Linked DNA regions of Drosophila melanogaster. The protein of the gene in region 2 interacts with the protein of the main gene of each other region in a pairwise test. Each region holds a gene or a part of one and is shown on either strand. Other genes may lie near its edges.

Region 1 (6,521 bases), on a different chromosome or scaffold from region 2:
GCCGTGTTGGAAAGGGAAAATCACTCATAGTTTGAGCAACCATCAGCATGAAGGTTTTCGTAGTTTTGGTTCTGGCTCTGGCCTCCGCCTCCGCTGGGCTCCTGCCCAATATTGCCCCTGTACATCCCCGTGACAGGGTCTCGACCCCATCCATCACCGGTCGCATCACCAACGGCAAGGACGCCGTTGCCGGCCAGTTCCCCTACCAGGTGGGACTTAGTTTCTCCAGCTCTGCTGGCAGTTGGTGGTGCGGTGGCTCCATCATCGGAAACGAGTGGGTGCTGACTGCTGCTCACTGTACCGACGGGTAAGTGCATTTTCCGTCCTTCAAGACCAGGTCTAATGAGAGTATTTCCAATATAGTGCCGCCTCCGTGACCATCTACTACGGTGCCACTGTCCGTACTAGCCCCGAGTTCACCCAAGTCGTCAGCAGCTCAAAGTTTAGGCAGCACGAAAGCTACCTGGCTTTGACCATCCGCAACGACATCTCCCTGATCCAGACTTCGTCCGTGTCCTTCTCGGCTACCGTGAACAAGATCAGCCTGCCCGCCGTCTCCAACAGCTACTCCACCTACGAGGGAAAGACCGCTGTTGCCTCCGGATGGGGTCTCACCTCCGACCAAGCCACCGCCGTGTCTCGCGATCTGCAGTACGTGGACCTTACCATCATCTCCAACTCCAAATGCCAGGAAACCTTCGGAAGCCTGATCGTGACCAGCAGGGTCCTCTGCGTTGACACCACCAACAAGGCCTCCACCTGCCAGGGTGATTCCGGCGGCCCATTGGCTCTCGATGGTGTCCTCATCGGTGCCACCTCCTTTGGATCCGCTGATGGTTGCGAGTCTGGCGCACCAGCTGCTTTCACCCGTATCACTTACTATCGCGATTGGATCAAGGAAACTTCCGGTATCTAAGTGTTGAAGTATGAAATATGAAAACTGCAAAATATTATAAATAAAACTGTAATCATGATTTTACACATGTTAGACTTTTAAATAATGTCTAGAGATTGAGATCTACTCTCTTACCGTTTAATGAATCAGATTTCATAATAACTCTTATAGACTAACTTAATACACTTCTGGCTTTTGATATCGCCAAAGTGGGTACTTTATGATCGGTGACGAAATCGGGGCCTTGGATTGTAAAACCCCACAGCCATTCAACTCCAGGAAAATTATCAATGGCCTTTCATGTGTCGAAATGCAGGCGAAGGTGTGCAGTAAATTAAACAAATAATAAACTAAGCGTTGATAAAACGACAGTCAATAAATACAGAGACCCCGACCCAGACATTCTGGCCAATGTTGGGGGCTAAGACTGAAATCGTGCAATTGAGGACCCGGGAAAATGGGGGGTTCGAAAGCAATTAAGGAAACTGCAGTATGCCAAAGGGAGACGAAGGCCTAGCCTAAGCAACATAATCGCCAAAACGTGCGGCAATTACACGGTAGCTGGAGGAATTGAATGCCAAACATCTGCTGCTCCTCCCGTCTCCGTATAATTTGCACTCGGCCCAAGCAAATTCAATTAACAAACGATGCGGACACGTGCCGCATCCAAGTCGATGACGCAATGTCGATGCCACAATCGCTGACTATAAAAACACCAGCAAATACAACAACAAGCCCAGTACTTCACGTGAAGAGCCCACTCAGACCTGAACTTGGACTAACTCATTACGAGGAACATCAGCTATATATATAATATATGTAAATAAAAAGGCAATTCATTCATAAATTTCATTCAACATAATGAATAGAGTTTCCTATTCACATATTTAAGGGGGGGGGGGGGGCGGGGGGTATTCTATGAATTTGGTCAGAAAAAGGAAATATTACATTTAAAAGATATAGTATAGAATGCAATAACAGGTATTCCCCATATTATTTTTTCAATTCCGTAGTGATAAAATGGCGCAATACCAGGCTACAAGTGCTTTCTTCCTGCTACTTCTATCATCCACACTAGTTAAATCAAGTGAGCCTTGGCTAGATACTTTTGAGCACCCCAAAGAGGAGACACCGGACGATGACGATGCAATCATGGAAAGACGTTGGCAGCTTGGCTACGAAAACTTTCGACTTCGCTGCGAAAAATTCGAGATGGAAGGTAATCAAACCGCTGCTGTGAGAACTCGAATAGCTGGAGGAGAATTGGCCACGCGCGGCATGTTTCCCTATCAAGTGGGTCTGGTGATTCAGCTGAGTGGCGCAGATCTGGTCAAGTGCGGTGGTTCCCTTATCACTCTTCAATTTGTTTTGACTGCAGCCCATTGTCTGACCGATGCCATAGCTGCAAAGATATACACGGGCGCCACCGTATTTGCCGATGTAGAAGACTCCGTGGAGGAGTTACAAGTCACGCATAGAGATTTCATTATTTATCCTGATTACTTGGGATTTGGAGGATATAGTGACTTGGCTTTAATACGACTGCCAAGAAAAGTCAGAACTTCAGAACAAGTGCAACCCATTGAGTTGGCTGGGGAGTTCATGCATCAAAACTTTCTGGTAGGCAAAGTGGTGACCCTATCTGGCTGGGGTTACTTGGGAGATTCAACCGACAAACGGACGCGACTCCTCCAGTACTTAGATGCGGAGGTGATCGATCAGGAACGCTGCATCTGCTATTTCCTGCCAGGATTGGTTAGCCAGCGACGTCACCTGTGCACCGATGGAAGCAATGGACGTGGTGCCTGCAATGGCGACTCCGGTGGCCCCGTTGTGTACCACTGGCGCAATGTTAGCTACCTGATTGGGGTCACCTCGTTCGGCAGTGCCGAAGGATGCGAGGTGGGGGGTCCCACTGTCTACACCAGGATAACCGCATATTTGCCATGGATCCGACAGCAAACGGCAATGACCAACTAAATGCAATTAACGCCTAATTGCAGCCCATTAATTGCTAAACAATATAGTCGGCCCAGACAATAAAACCAATTTGAGCAATGAAACCAAAACAGGTTCTTCTGTCGAGAAAGGAAGGTGCAAATGGTCCATTTTATGTGTGGTTGTTTTCTCTTGAATGAAAATTGTTACCGATAAATAACAATAAACATTTCGGCATTGCAGAAGAGCAAGTCAATTTGGGGAGCTCAATAAGGGCACAAAAGAAAAATTACATTGCCATGGAAATTGCTGATGAATCGCCACTGAAATTGAAATCATTGGGTTGAGTGTCCGTTTTTGGTGAGGGCATATTGGGTACAGACCGCAGCGCCTCCTCCCGCTAATCGCCTTCAATTGGCCATCTGAATTGGCTATTAACCGCAGTGATGTGGTCGGTTGAACGCGTCATAAAATCACGCGGCTTTCGCTGATAAAGAAGGCTGCGGTTGCGAAAACAACTGAAATTTGCGTGTTTGTAATCAAAGAGAGAGTCCAGATACGCAATTGTTAGACGGCGGTATGATTTCCTATGAAGTTTAAGCAGTCTTGACCAACTCACGTCCTACTCCTTGACCTTTATCGAAGGTAAACAAACCCAACTAAACTGTGGGCTTACGGCTTCTCACCCTATAGACAGGAGATAAGATAGCACTCGACTACCATGGGAATTATAAGATACGCTGAAGAGCAAAGCAAACCTTTGCCAATTTTGTATCGCAATATATAGTTATGTATATATCGCGTATGTGTAAAACTAATCAAATTAATTAGCAACCCCATGCTAGGCCTTTGGTATCGCAGCGGCTCGATCTGGAAATCCACTCGAAGCCCATAGCCCTGATTAGATCCGTATCGGGATTAATACTCTTGGATTGGGAAAGTAATTTTGGCGACCGTGTGGCTGAAGTTCATTCATTCATATCTTCGGCACAAAATCTCAACAGATAAGGTAGTTCGAACCGACTTTAGTGGTCCTATCTAATCGGGACAGCTCTATTTCTGAATTGCAACCCAATCGCAGACGCGACTTGGCCAGTATAAAAGACCCCAGCTGGTCCTTGGCCAAACAGTTGAGTTCCCTTAACTGAACAAGCAACAATTCCCAAGATGAAGTTCCTGATCATCCTTGCCCTGGCTGTGGCCGCCTCCGCTTTCCCCGAGCCGGAGCTGCGCCATCGCAGCCGCGAGATGCCCGTCGTTGGCGACATTGGAGGTCGCATCACCGGAGGAAGCAACGCCGCCGTCGGCCAGTTCCCCTACCAGGTGGGACTTTCCCTGAAGCTGAGTGCTCTGTCCAGCGCCTGGTGCGGTGGTTCTCTGATCGGCAGCACCTGGGTCCTGACCGCTGCTCACTGTACCGATGGGTGAGTGTCCCTTGAAGGAATGCCGAAAATATCTTGGAACCAATGTCCTAACCAATTGTATGTTTGATTTATCGCAGAGTTCAGTCCGTGACCGTCTACTTGGGCGCCACCGTGCGCACCTCCGCCGAGATCACCCACACCGTGTCCAGCTCCGACATCATCATCCACTCCGGCTGGAACAGCGCTAACCTGCGCAACGACATCTCCCTGATCAAGATCCCCGCCACCTCCTCCAGCAGCAGGATCTCCGCCGTCAAGCTGCCAAGCATCTCCAACTCCTACTCGACCTTCGTCGGTGACGTCGCTGTCGCCTCCGGATGGGGACGCACCAGTGACACCTCCAGTGGTGTGGCTACCAATCTTCAGTATGTCGACCTGACTGTGATCACCAACACCAAGTGCGCCCAAACCTACGGCACCTCGGTCGTGACCGACTCAACCCTCTGCGTGGCCACCACCGACGCCAAGTCCACCTGCAACGGTGACTCCGGCGGTCCTCTGGTCCTCAAGTCGTCCAGCGAGCAGATCGGTCTGACCTCATTCGGTGCCTCTGCCGGTTGCGAGAAGGGCTACCCCGCTGCCTTCACTCGTGTGACCAGCTACCTGGACTGGATCAAGACTAACACTGGCATCTAGGAAGGAGTCAGGAACTACAATTTCGCTTAAAAATAAAAATCATTTCTAAAAAATTCAAAAGTTTTATAGCTCTATAGGGGGAATTTCGGAAACGTAGATCTTCATTTATAAATTTCTTTACTCAATATAGATCAAAAGAGAACTTATGTTCCCAGTTTGAGGGTCGTCGGTTATAGTAACAATCCATATCGTCTTGTACATATGCTTTTGTCTAAAATCAAAAATCATCACAAAACAGACAAATGAAAATGAATGCAGAACCAAGCTGTTACTGGCATTCGGCGAGTAAGTTCTCATTAAAATTCATTAAATTGCCAAGCGACACAATTTTTTTTTTTTTTTATTAATTTTTATTATTTATTGAATCTTCCCTTTGTGTTAAGAGACTAACAATAAGTGTTCAAATCTTAATCTAACTTAATTAACTTTCACTTAGTGATAGTTTTTTTTTTTCATTAATGCCCTAATAAGTTTATTGCTGGGCTGGGAGGTCGTTGCGGTGCAGCCGGCTTTGACTGCATACTCGGATTAGTTTTCTTGCGAGGGGATTTGTATGGGTGGTCAGCTTTTCGTTATACTTCGTTTTTTTCTCAGCTATTACTTCGATTACTAATTTGATTTTTAGGTCTCTGTGTATGTTTTCGTTCCGAAGGTACCACGGCGCTCCAGTGATAATTCTCAGAATTCTTGACTGTGCTCGCTGAATAATGTCTATGTTACTTCTGGATGCGTTGCCCCACAGCTCGGAGCCATAAGTCCAGATAGGTTTTAAGACGGAGTTGTATAGAAGAGCTTTGAACTCCAGACTAAGTGGAGAGCGAGCATTTATGAGCCAGTGGAGGTTCCTTGCTTTAAGTTTAAGATGTTTCGATTTGGCTTCTATATGTTTGCGCCAAGTGAGCCGCCTGTCCAGATGAACTCCCAGATATGTTACCTCGTCGGCTTGTGGAATGCATATGTTATTCAAGACCAGTGGTGGGCATGTTTGTTTGTTTAAGGTAAAGGTAACCTGCTTGCATTTTTGAACATTTATTGAAATTCTCCAGTCGGCAAGCCATCGTTCTACAGATGTTAAGTGTCGGGATAGGAGTGCCGTGGCTTTTATTGGGCATTTCGAGCGACTGAGTATCGCGGTATCATCAGCGAACGTGGAGGTTGTTAGATTGTAGTCTATGGGGAAATCCGCCGTATACAGGGTGTATAAGATTGGACCCAGTACACTGCCTTGCGGCACTCCAGCTTCGATTGCGCAATCGCGTGAAGTGCTTGTATCGCATCTTATTGCAAACACTCTGTTATATAGGTATGACTTCAGTAGCTTATGTGTGTTTTGGGGCAACAGCTTGATTATTTTAAACAAAAGTCCATCGAGCCACACTCTGTCAAATGCCTGCGCGACGTCTAGAAAAATGGCTGTGCAGTATTCTCGATGTTCAAAAGCAGTACGAATTTCTGACGTGATTCGGTTGACCTGTTCGATGGTTCCATGTTTTTCTCTAAAGCCAAATTGATGTGTTGGAAGTGTGTTGTTTATTCTAAGATGAGGGCTAATCCGAAGGAGTAGCATTTTTTCAAACAGCTTTGAAAGACATGTTAGTAAGCTTATCGGTCTATATGATGATGGCTGC
Region 2 (11,094 bases):
ATATTGCTTGAGGGAACTGAGGAATATTGAGTTGTTCGGCATGGTCATACCCATGATTACGAAGGGCAGAAAGACCATCTCCTTGGAGCGCCGGAAGATGGGTCGGTGCAGTTTGACTTGGGCCTGCCTTAAGAGGGGCCACAAGGTGCCCGTCACGGAGAAGGCGAAGTGCAGCTCCATGGACATCCGCTGGGTCTGAAAATCCGTGGAGTCGGCTGTCTGAAACACATCGCTGTGCGCATCCACATACTCCGCTCCCCTTATCGACTTCAGGTAGTCCATGTCCGTCGGGACCATAAGGATCTTCAGCTTGGCCCTGCGCATTTGATCGAAGTCTGTAACTGGATCACTTGTCGGGGGTTGTATGAGCCAAGCTGTGAGATAGACAATCACGTAGTTGCTCACAAAGAAGCCACTCACCAGAAGCAGCCAGTAGACAAACATTAGTTTTGGGGATAGCCCCTTCGGAAGGACGAACGCCTGTGCCAGGACTCCCCGGAGCACCGTATTGCCCATTGAACAGCACCGCCAGCTAGGAGTTAGGCCAGCTTCAAAGCGATGTGCGTTACTTAGCACGATGGCTAGAAGGATTATCAGCGGTATCAGGTATAGCGATATGCCGAACCTTATGAAGAATCGAGCTCGAGGAAGGCTGGGCTCCATGGGTAGCATGAGGAACCAGCTGGAAATCTCCATGGCGACGTCCTTGTGCAATGTCTGGAAACTGAGACTGCCCAGCCCCAAGGGGAAGTCGACGTGATTGCTTCCCGTTAGGCTGTCCATATCGAAGTCACCGTCCTCCGGGAAGAGGTCCCAGCGGATCTGCAGACTGGCGTTAATGGTGCTCACATAGTTGCGGATGAAGTGGCTGAGGTATCCGCCCATCTGCAGCTCTCCATCCTCACCTTGGTACACCATAGTTCTGGGCATGATGCCATCTGGCACAACCTTCAGGACACATCCCCCCAGATCCTCAAGCTGCGGCTCGAAGTACCGACGCACATCCTTCACCCTGCGCTTTACAACTCGAAGAGTTGGGAATGCCTTGAAGCTGTAAACGAACTCCCTAATGGAGCCATTGAACGCCTTCTAAAAGTAAAATAGTCCTGTAGCCCAGCTCATCCTCTAGAGATTTCAGCATATTTCTCAAGGAACCATCATGTGCCCCGGCCAGGCAGGCGAAAGTGAAGAATAGTGCGAGCCGCATTTCCATGGCGACTATCCGAAACGAGCTGCTAATACATACTGCCACTCTGCTGCTTTGTCCACAGGGTAATGGTTACTGCGATTAGATCTGGTATCCTTCAGTTATACCGGAAAGCAATAACAACGAGTTGTTACTTATTTTAATGGCAGTCTAGTGCCTGCATTTATGAGTGCCTTTATCCAATTAGGATTCCCAGAGCAATGCCTAATAGATATTCATAGTGTTTATTTATTCAAGTTCAATGCTAATTTTGATTTAGTTGCCACCTGTGGTATCCAATCTCGGCGAGGAGTACCAGGATACTAGCGATGGTTCCGCCCACGAAGCCCAGCCACACGTAGCTAAAGTCCTGCCACTCGAAGTCTCGATATATCTGATGATCACCATTCACTTTGTAGTGGATCTTCCGGAGGGCAACCAACTCGTTGAAGCTCCGCTTGAACCAAAACTCGTACAAGCCGCTCTGGTGGGTGAGTGCCCGGTACCGATTCAGTGACTTGTGAAACATTGAGTTCTTCGGCAAGGGCATGGCCATGATAAGCAGCGGTATGAGCACCATCTCCCGAGATCGTCGGAACTCTGGCTTCGGCAGTCGGATCTGGGCGTGCTCCAGCAGTGGCCACAAGGTGCACGTCACAGGATAGGCGTAGGATTGGTCCATAGCCAAGCGCTTGTCTTGGAAATTGCCAGATTTCGAGAGTTCGAAGAGATCGCTGTTGCTCTCCGTGAATTGCTTGCCCAGGGCTTTGGTCATGGAATCCAGCTCGGAGGGGACAATAAGGACTTTCAGGTTCAAGGTGCGCATTTGCTCCCAGCTGTGGATTGGATGTCCCGAGGGGGGATGCACGAGCCAGGTCTCCAGACTGGTGATGGAATAGTTGCTGAAGGTGAATCCATTCAGCAGGATCAGCGAGTAAACCAGCATGAGCTTGACGGAAAGCCTTCTGGGTAGGAAGAATGCTTGGCCCAGTGTTCCTTGCAGAACTCTGTCTCCCAAGACGTAGCAGCGCCAGCTAGGCCGCAAGCCCATCTCAATCCGATGGGCAGTGCTCAGGAGGATTGTGAGCAGCAGCAGCACTGGCGTTACCTTCTCAAAACCCAACATGATGAAAAATTGAGCCCGAGAAAGGGAGGGCTCCATGGGCAGCATGAGGAACCAGCTGGAGACCTCCAAAGGAACGTTTTGGCTCGTCGACCCGTGCTCAATGCCATGCATGCCCAGTGGGAAATCCACATCATGGATCTCCGAGAGCCTGACTACCTCACCTAACTGGATCATGCCGTCCTCGGGAACCAGATGCCAGCAGACCTTGAGGGTTGCGTTAATGGTGCTCACATAGTTCCGCAGGAAGGGGTACAGATATCCAGCCAGCTGGCGACTTCCATCCGGGCTCTTGTAGACAACGGTGCGCGGGATAATGTTGTCGGGCAGAGTAGTGAGGGTATGGCCACCCAGATCTTCGAGTTGCTGCTCGAAGTACTGGAGGATGTCCATAACGTTGCGCTCTATGACACGAAATGTGGGAAAAGCCCGAAAGCTGTAGACGAACCCCCTGTCCAATCCTTTGAAAGCCAAGACATTAAGCATTTTTCTTCGCAGACACTCCAGAAAGACATCCTGGACTTTGGAATCCGAAAGGACGAATAGTATGGTGGGCGTGTCGCGCATATCCTCGAGATTTTCGTAAAGAGCCTGCATGGTGCTCTCAACGTTTTCGTTTAGGCAAACTAGTGCCAGTATATTCGTATTAAGCGCATCTTTAAGATACAAACTTTGATTCGCATTAAAGTTCAGAATTGGCACCGCTCCTTGAATGTACTTCTGCTCCCAACACGATTCAATTTCACTCGCACTTTCTACGAGGAGAATCGCTCTGTACTGCAACTCATTCTCGAGAGCATTCAGAATGTATCTTAGGGATACGCAGTGAACGTCCACCAATCCGATGGCTATGATCAGATACAAACTCCGCCTCATTTTCGAGTTGTCTGCTCTGGAGTGCGGAATCAAGTAGACTGCACGAGTTCTCAGGGTTTTTGGGTAATTAAGAAGTTAAGTCGTATAACTGCCGGAAAAGTACGCATTGTTTTTGGAACAATGGTTAATCGTATGTCATAGGATTTAATTGGAGCTGTGTGTTAATCGAAAGTGGTCTATTTTTGTTAAGAACAAGCTATAAAATGCTAAGCTAGATAAAAAAAAGGTTAAAGTTGCAATATATGTTGCTATTGAAGATGCTTCGATTTAATTCTTCATTTCATGCATTTCTTCAAATACATGGCTCTACATTTTACACAACTATTTTACATCGTTAGTTACATTACATGTGTCTGTAAGCGCAGGAGTCCCCCTAACTATGGCAATTAACATTTGGTATTTTTTAGCACTCGCAGAACGGTCTCTCTGATGTCAAACGTGAGAAAAGTGAAAAAACAGACGGTTTAGTTTAGATTTTATTATTTACTAGCACGGTAGGAATGACAAATGGATTACATATAAGCTGCACTGAGGGCTCGATGTAATCGGCGGCTAAATTATAGGCGTGATTTAACCGGTTGTCACTCGCACGAAATGCGATACTTCGAAATTTGTTGCTGTGTTGTGTAATTTGGTGTGAAGGAGTGTGCGAGGCAAAAACAAAAACAAATCAAGATCGCGCGATATTGCGTCGATGACGTAGCTCAGTGCGTGCGTGCGTGTGTGTGTGTGTGTATGCCTGTGTGTGTTTTTGCAGCCGAAAACCAATTTGGGATCTAATCAATGTATTGACTTTTAACCAAATCGGCAGTAGGCTAAACCAGAATTCCCACCTTCTATTTACTTTCCATTAGGCGAGAATCGTGGGAAGGAACCCGTTACTTGCGCCAACGAAAGTGGAACAGAGAAGCACAGCGAGGACGGTTACAAGCGAAATCAGAGAAAAACAAAGGCGAAATAAGGCAAAAGCAATCAGAAGTCGAGCGACAGAGAACCCAAAGATACACAATCCACAGACAGTTTGTCGGAAATTCAAAATTCCATTTGAAAATACTTTGGATTCGGTTTGGAGGCCGAGCCTAGCCACGCCCCCCTGCACCACCACCCGCCACCGCCATGAACGCCCTGCTGCGTCACAAGGGACGCAATCTGCGGACGAGTCACTTGGCCCAGAATGTCTACAAGCGCTGTAAGTTGGCCAAAACTGGGAAGCGAAGGCGAAATCGCGTGAAAACTTTCCATTCGCGTGTGTGTTAGCGGGCATTTTGTTATGACTGCACTTTCGCTGGAAAGAACAGCTGACTGGCTGGAAACTGCGACGTGCGCTGGAAGTTATGTAGTGGGGGGCTTCGAATTTATTTGTTTTCGAGTAAACACCAAATTTATCATTCATTCCTAGAGTTCTTACCGGTTTCGGAGCTCTACTGACGTATCAGTGCTTCGAAAACTTAGCTGCTAATTTAATTATTCGTATTGTTTTCAACGATTTGTTGACTTTGGATCGCGACAACTGGCAATCTTATCTTTCAGCCTATACATATGGCTTAATTTCGATAATATAATTTCTTTATCTTCAACATCTTGCACCACACGCCGAATGGTTCTTTTAGGTTATAAAAGATGGGATTATTCTTATAGACCTTGGACAATTTTTGTATCTACTGGTGACTTATAATGCGACAGATTCAGATTTCGTAGGAAATCACCTGCCAGGGAAGAGGCCCAAAGACCAGCCAGGTACCAGCAAGACCAGACAAAGAGGCACCTGCGGGAAAGTACAGTCATAGTCCAGAGCAGATAGTATTGTTTACCCACAATTGAAACAATCATAGAGACTTGAAATAGGTCGGAATTACCCGCACCTTCTCCACAGCAGTTCCTCTTCTTGTTTCCCCTCCTTCGACTCAATTGCAAAATCATTTACCTTGAGCGTTTGCCAAGAATCGGAAAATCAAAAAAGAGAAGACAAAAGGAAAAGTGCGCTGTAAACAAATGCAGTCGACGCGGCCGTCTGAATGTTTGCTAAGCATGTATTTATAGAGGTTGAGAATTCTCACCGGTTGTGCGAATTTTCGTTTTCTCGCTCTGGGATTTATGTAAGCTCCACTCCAGGTGCTAATTTATCTGGTCTGTCGTCGGCAATCTTTGCCTTTCTATTATCAACTATCGAGCTCACTGAAAATCCCAACAAAATCTATAGTCAAGCGGCAGTGCGCTTATCAACCACAAACTTTTCCCATTTTTTGTAGCTATGATTAATAACTCATTAGGTGTTATTTCTTTCGTTCTTTGTTTCCTTATTTTCCTTTGGCCCTTCATCTGCTCTTATTTTTATTAAAACATGAAAGGCTGTTCGGGAAATCGTATGGAATCAGGTTATTGACCTGAAAGATTCCTTTGTGAGAATATTACATTGTTTTATTTCTTTGTTGTAATTTAATCGGATATACAGAAATCACTTGAACTTTCCAGTTTTTAAATATAGCTATACTTATCTTACTAACTTCGTATTATTTTTCTTACTTAACATATTTTTCAATATTTTTTTTGCAGTTCTTAAATCGAACTGTTGCGCATGCAGTTCGGTGAACGTCACAGATGAACCCGCCAAAGAAGATGAACTACCGCGAAGATCTGCTTCGACCTCGGTGCTGGAGCTAAGCAGATCGCTTGGCACTTACCGAAGGTTTCAGCCACATGCCAACTATGGATACGACTACTCCGGCTATGGATTTAGGCATCTGCATACGAGCCGGACTTTGCTGGAGACGTCCAGCTCAAAGATCGACGCAACAGTCAAGAAGCTGAAAAACCAGCAGAAGGAGAAGGTGGAGGAGATCATGAAGGAGGTGGCCAATGGACAGGCCGCGGCAGTTCGTGCCAGCAGTGCCGCTACCGCCACGGCCTCCTCGGAGAAGGGTCAAAACGCTAGTGCGACCGCGGGCTCCACGTCGGCGACTGCCTCAACGACGTCTTTGGCCAAGACCGCAGACAAGTCGGTGGCCAAGCCAAAGAAACCACTCCGCACACGGATTTGGGATGAGCTGGTGCACTATTACCACGGCTTTAGGCTGCTCTTCATCGATGTGGCAATTTGCTCTAAGCTCCTTTGGCGAGTGCTCAACGGCAAGACGCTCACGCGGCGCGAGAACAAGCAGCTTCAGCGGACCACCTCTGACTTGTTCCGTCTGATCCCCTTTTCGGTGTTCATCATCGTGCCCTTCATGGAGCTGCTGCTGCCGTTGTTCATAAAATTCTTCCCCGGCATGCTGCCCTCCACGTTCCAGACTTCGACCGATCGACAGGAGAAGCTCCGGCAGTCACTTAGCGTTCGCCTGGAGGTGGCCAAGTTCTTGCAGCAGACCCTAGATCAGATGCCCGTCCAGCACAAGGAACACAGCAGCGAAGAGGCCAAGCAGTTCGAGGCCTTTTTCACTAAAATCCGGAATCCCACTGAACCAGTGAGCAACGATGAAATCATCAAATTCGCCAAGCGATTCGACGATGAGATCACCTTAGATTCACTGTCCCGGGAGCAATTGGCGGCTCTTTGTCGCGTCCTTGAACTGAACACAATTGGCACCACCACGCTGCTGCGGTTCCAGCTGCGTCTGAAGCTGAGATCTTTGGCCACCGATGACCGCGTTATTGCCCGCGAAGGAGTCGACTCCCTGGACCTTCTAGAGCTGCAACAGGCGTGCAAGGCACGTGGAATGCGGGCATATGGCCTAACGGAGGAGCGTCTTCGTTTTCAGCTTAAGGAGTGGATAGATCTCTCCCTGAACGAACAGGTACCGCCTACGCTGCTGCTCCTGTCAAGAACCATGCTTATTTCCGACGACAGCATCACCACCGATAAGCTCAAGGAGACGATTCGTGTGCTACCGGATGCAGTGGGTGCCCACACACGGCACGCTATCGGGGAGAGTGAGGGCAAGGTGGACAACAAGACGAAGATCGAAATCATCAAGGAGGAGGAGCGCAAGATTCGCGAAGAGCGCGAGGAAGAGCGGGAAGAGACCATCGCAAAACGATCGGCCATCAAGGAGGAGATTCCCGCTCCTTATGTATTTGCTGAGAAGTTGTCGGGTTCCCAGGATCTTCTGGATCACAAGGAACAGTCCTCGGTGTCCGAGACGGACAAGGGCATTTCCTCTACCGATGTACAGCTGCTGTCTGAGGCCCTAAAGACACTCTCATCTGATAAACAGCTCGTGGTGGAAAAGGAAACAATCAAGGAACTCAAGGAGGAATTGGCCGACTATAAGGAGGATGTGGAGGAGCTACGCGAGGTGCGACAGGTAGTCAAGGAGCCTGTGCGCGAAAGCCGGGCGGCCAAGTTGCTCTACAATCGGGTCAACAAGATGATTTCCCAACTCGATAATGTGCTTAACGACCTAGAGGCCAGGCAGCATCAAATCAAGCAGGCGGAATCCTCTGATTACGCGGCGTCCAGTCCCACTGTGGAACCACAGCAAATGGTGCACATTGACGAGCTGGTCGCCACCATCCGGCGAATGAAGGAGGCATCCGATGAAGAGCGATTCAAGGTTGTCGGGGATCTGCTGGTCAAACTCGACGCGGACAAAGACGGTGTGATTTCGGTGAACGAGATCACCAAGGCGGTGCAGAGCATCGACCGCGAGGCCACGAATATCGACAAGAAGCAGCTGGAGGAGTTTACCGAGCTACTTTCCAAGTTGGCGTCCCGGCGACGACACGAGGAGATCGTGCACATCGACGATTTAATGAATAACATCAAGGTGTTGAAGGAAACTAGCGATGAGGCACGACTTAAGCACATCGAAGCTGTACTGGAGAAATTTGATGCCGACAAGGATGGCGTGGTGACCGTCAACGATATTCGTAAGGTAATAAAATCATGTTCCTTAGGCTGAACATACACTCAATTGGTTTGGTGTTCCTTACAGGTGTTGGAATCCATTGGTCGTGATAACATCAAGCTGAGCGACAAGGCCATTGAGGAACTCATCAGTCTGCTTGACAAGGAGCAAGTACTGCAGGCAGAGCAGAAGATTGAGAAGGCCATTGCTAAGAGCATGAAAGAGGCTGAGAAACTGAAGTCTGAGGTGGACAAAGCGGATAAGGACTTGTCCAAGCTTGTTAATGATATTCACGATTCCGCCAAGGAGATTCAGGATATTGCCAACGAGATGCGTGATAAGGAGGAAACTGTGCCCGATAAAGCGAAGGAGCTAAAAGCAGAGGTAAGTCTTTGGTTTTGACATACAGTGGTCAGCGTTCTAACAGATCAGTTTATTTAGCCCGCATTCAAGGATACGGCCAAAACATTGAAGGACAACGCAAAGGACCTGGACGATTTAGCGAAGGACCCAAAGTCAGACCCCAAATCCCCGACAAAGGCTTCTACAGGGTCCGGTCCAGCCGGACTGTCAGGTGGAGGCCCCAGCAGTGGCAGTAGCGGTATTGCCACCGGATCAACGACGGAATCAGCGCTCCGAGAGGCGGCCGAGCGTCAAATGGAAAAGATCCTGCCCTCCACAGACATTGGTCTGCCCCCCACGATACAAACACCATCGCAACCACCGACGTCAAAAAAAGCAACGGCCACTGCGTCGACCCTGTCCACGACGATAACGGCCAAGAAACTGCTCTGACCAGTCAGACGGTCCAAGAAGGGAGATGCTGAGACAACTCTTAAGCGTGAACCTAAGCCGAAGTGATGTGTTGGAGTAGGGGCGGTGGCGGTGTTGCTCGTGTGTCCCATATTGTTCCGACTATGCAATGAATTAACTGTTACCATTTAACATAAACGTAGCAGGATGAGGAGAGTTTGCTATACTTAACGCGTGGCTGTAGTACGGTATCTTCTTTAAGTAAGGCACAAATCAGAAACTACTAGAAATACATAAGAATGTACACTTTACACATATATCTTGATTTCCAACGACCTAGTTTTACATAAAACCCATTCGAAGCAAGTTGTTTGTAGCTCCTTTTTATTTGGCCCAAATTTGCGAAGCGATTGTGATCATTAGGCGAAATGTTAATTTACGACTTATTCATCTATTAATACGTACGTATATCTATCAAGCAAGTTGATTCGCCCGACCGGTTTTCAGGTAATACCGAAAGGTGGCGAGACATTGGAGAATAATTAAAACCACGTGATAGATCTAAACAATAATGTGTGTGCTTGACTTAGCAAACTGAATTTGTAAAAGTGTTTCGCAATAAAAGTTAGTATAAAAACAAAAGACGAACTGTAATTACGGGAAAACGAGTCGGAAAGTGCCCTATTATCTGTGAACTCGCCTTGAATGCCGATGCACAAGTTCTAAACGGCTATATCACCAATTTCCTAGAAACTACTGCTGAATGGCCATTCGGGACTTTAAATGACTGACTCCGACCGAACAATTGCTTTTACGAACCGCATTGATTGCTCAGAATTATATTTTTGCATTGTTTATTTCCTCGAGGGCGGGATGGTGTTCCACAACCGCACCCAAAAACCCGGACTTGCCAACTGGCCAGCAGTGATTCGGAATCGACAACCGCAGAACCCAAACTTTTACGGCCAAGTTAGTTTTGTCCGATGGGGTGCGGGTGGGGGGGGGGGGGTGGGGGGGCACTGCATGTTCAGCATCATATCCTGGGCTATTGAAGTAATAAAAATTACCACAAAATGTTCCAAAATTCCATCTTTGCCTGCCCGCTGACCCATAAATTCCCATCATATTCAGCGAGGGCCAAGAAAGTGTGGTATTCGTAAAGCATTCGGCTCCCAGCTATGTTGGCCTCTTTTCGGCCAAATAAATTAAATATGGCCCTGCGTAGGATTAGTAACTTGTGTATGCCCCAGCATTAATCAATCCCAGTTTGTGCGTAAACATGCGAAACTTTCGACCAGCAGCGAAATCGAAAACAAATAGACGCAAAGCGCTGGAAAAGAATACAGCGGAAATTTATTTAAAGGTAAATAGAACCGACAAAACGCGAAACAAGCCAAATAATAATAAACTTCAGTTCCGCTGGGAGGGAACTGTTGTTTGCAATCAGGCAAGCCCGACCATCCAACCATCCAACCACCGAACAACCCAACAGCCCAACAACCAGGAACCGCAGACAGACCAGAGGATCCGAGGAGCCGGTGATCCGGAGGGGTCGGTCGCTGGTCGGAATATGCTGGATGGGCAGGACGGGAAAGTTGGCAGAGCGTCTTGGTCGGCGAAAGTTTGCGCAGCTCAAAGTGCTTCGGATGCAACAATGAAACTCGAAATCTGCCATGAATGGTCTGAAGTGCAGACAATCAGCGACAGAGGACAGAGGACACAGGACAAGCGAACCGGGTGAACTTAAAGCATTGCGCCATGGAACGAAGTTAGTAAGTTTTAGAGCCAACGCTCGGAGAATGCTCATTCCAGTGGCGGGTTGGCGGAAAAATTGCAAAATTATTTGAAGAAATGTTACAAAACAATTAAAAAGTTGCCGACTTTCATGAGTCAATCAAAAGAGAGGCAGCCGCAACGAGTTCCGCTGCGAGAAGTTGCCCAACTTTGGCCCACTTTGAATGTCAGACAACAAGCATACGCCCCGTTGTACGTCATGCGAGCGGCAGACTAATGCAATTGTCCTTGCTGGATTTCATTTTCCGTCCAACTTGAAAACTGCTGCACTTTCGAAAGCGCCAAAACAACAAAGGTCGGCCTGTCGGAAAGTGGCGCTGTCAGTGGAGCTCTTTGCTCTTGGCTCTTGGCATCTGCTCCACACATAGCCCGGGATGAGCTCGTCGAGGCGCACACCAGATGCGTTTGCCGGATGGATTGCATGCAACCATATTTGATAGAGTTATTTCGCCTTGCCAGGTTTGGACATTCTTTCATTTAATAAAGTTTTAATATCGCCCTTGGGCCAAATCAAGCCC

The links. Proteins that work in one complex are often made in the same cells at the same time.
Region 1: the proteins of Letm1 (region 2) and Jon65Aiv interact in a two-hybrid assay, tested with the Drosophila melanogaster proteins (one large-scale study listed by BioGRID).

The regions. Positions count from the first base shown.
Region 1 is NT_037436.4:6,035,196-6,041,716, forward strand, and holds Jon65Aiv (jonah 65Aiv), read left to right. Parts: upstream 1-3,959; 5' UTR 3,960-4,000; coding exon 4,001-4,257; intron 4,258-4,334; coding exon 4,335-4,893; 3' UTR 4,894-4,940; downstream 4,941-6,521. Other genes in the region: yip7 (yippee interacting protein 7), read left to right, coding at 48-307, 364-916; CG6462 (uncharacterized protein), read left to right, coding at 1,916-2,875.
Region 2 is NT_033778.4:24,507,816-24,518,909, reverse strand, and holds Letm1 (leucine zipper and EF-hand containing transmembrane protein 1), read left to right. Parts: upstream 1-3,589; 5' UTR 3,590-3,679; intron 3,680-3,912; exon of another isoform or gene 3,913-4,039; 5' UTR 4,040-4,301; coding exon 4,302-4,374; intron 4,375-5,738; coding exon 5,739-8,056; intron 8,057-8,116; coding exon 8,117-8,413; intron 8,414-8,470; coding exon 8,471-8,824; 3' UTR 8,825-9,402; downstream 9,403-11,094. Other genes in the region: Ir60b (ionotropic receptor 60b), read right to left, coding at 1,452-3,185. UniProt on the Drosophila melanogaster protein: Mitochondrial proton/calcium antiporter that mediates proton-dependent calcium efflux from mitochondrion.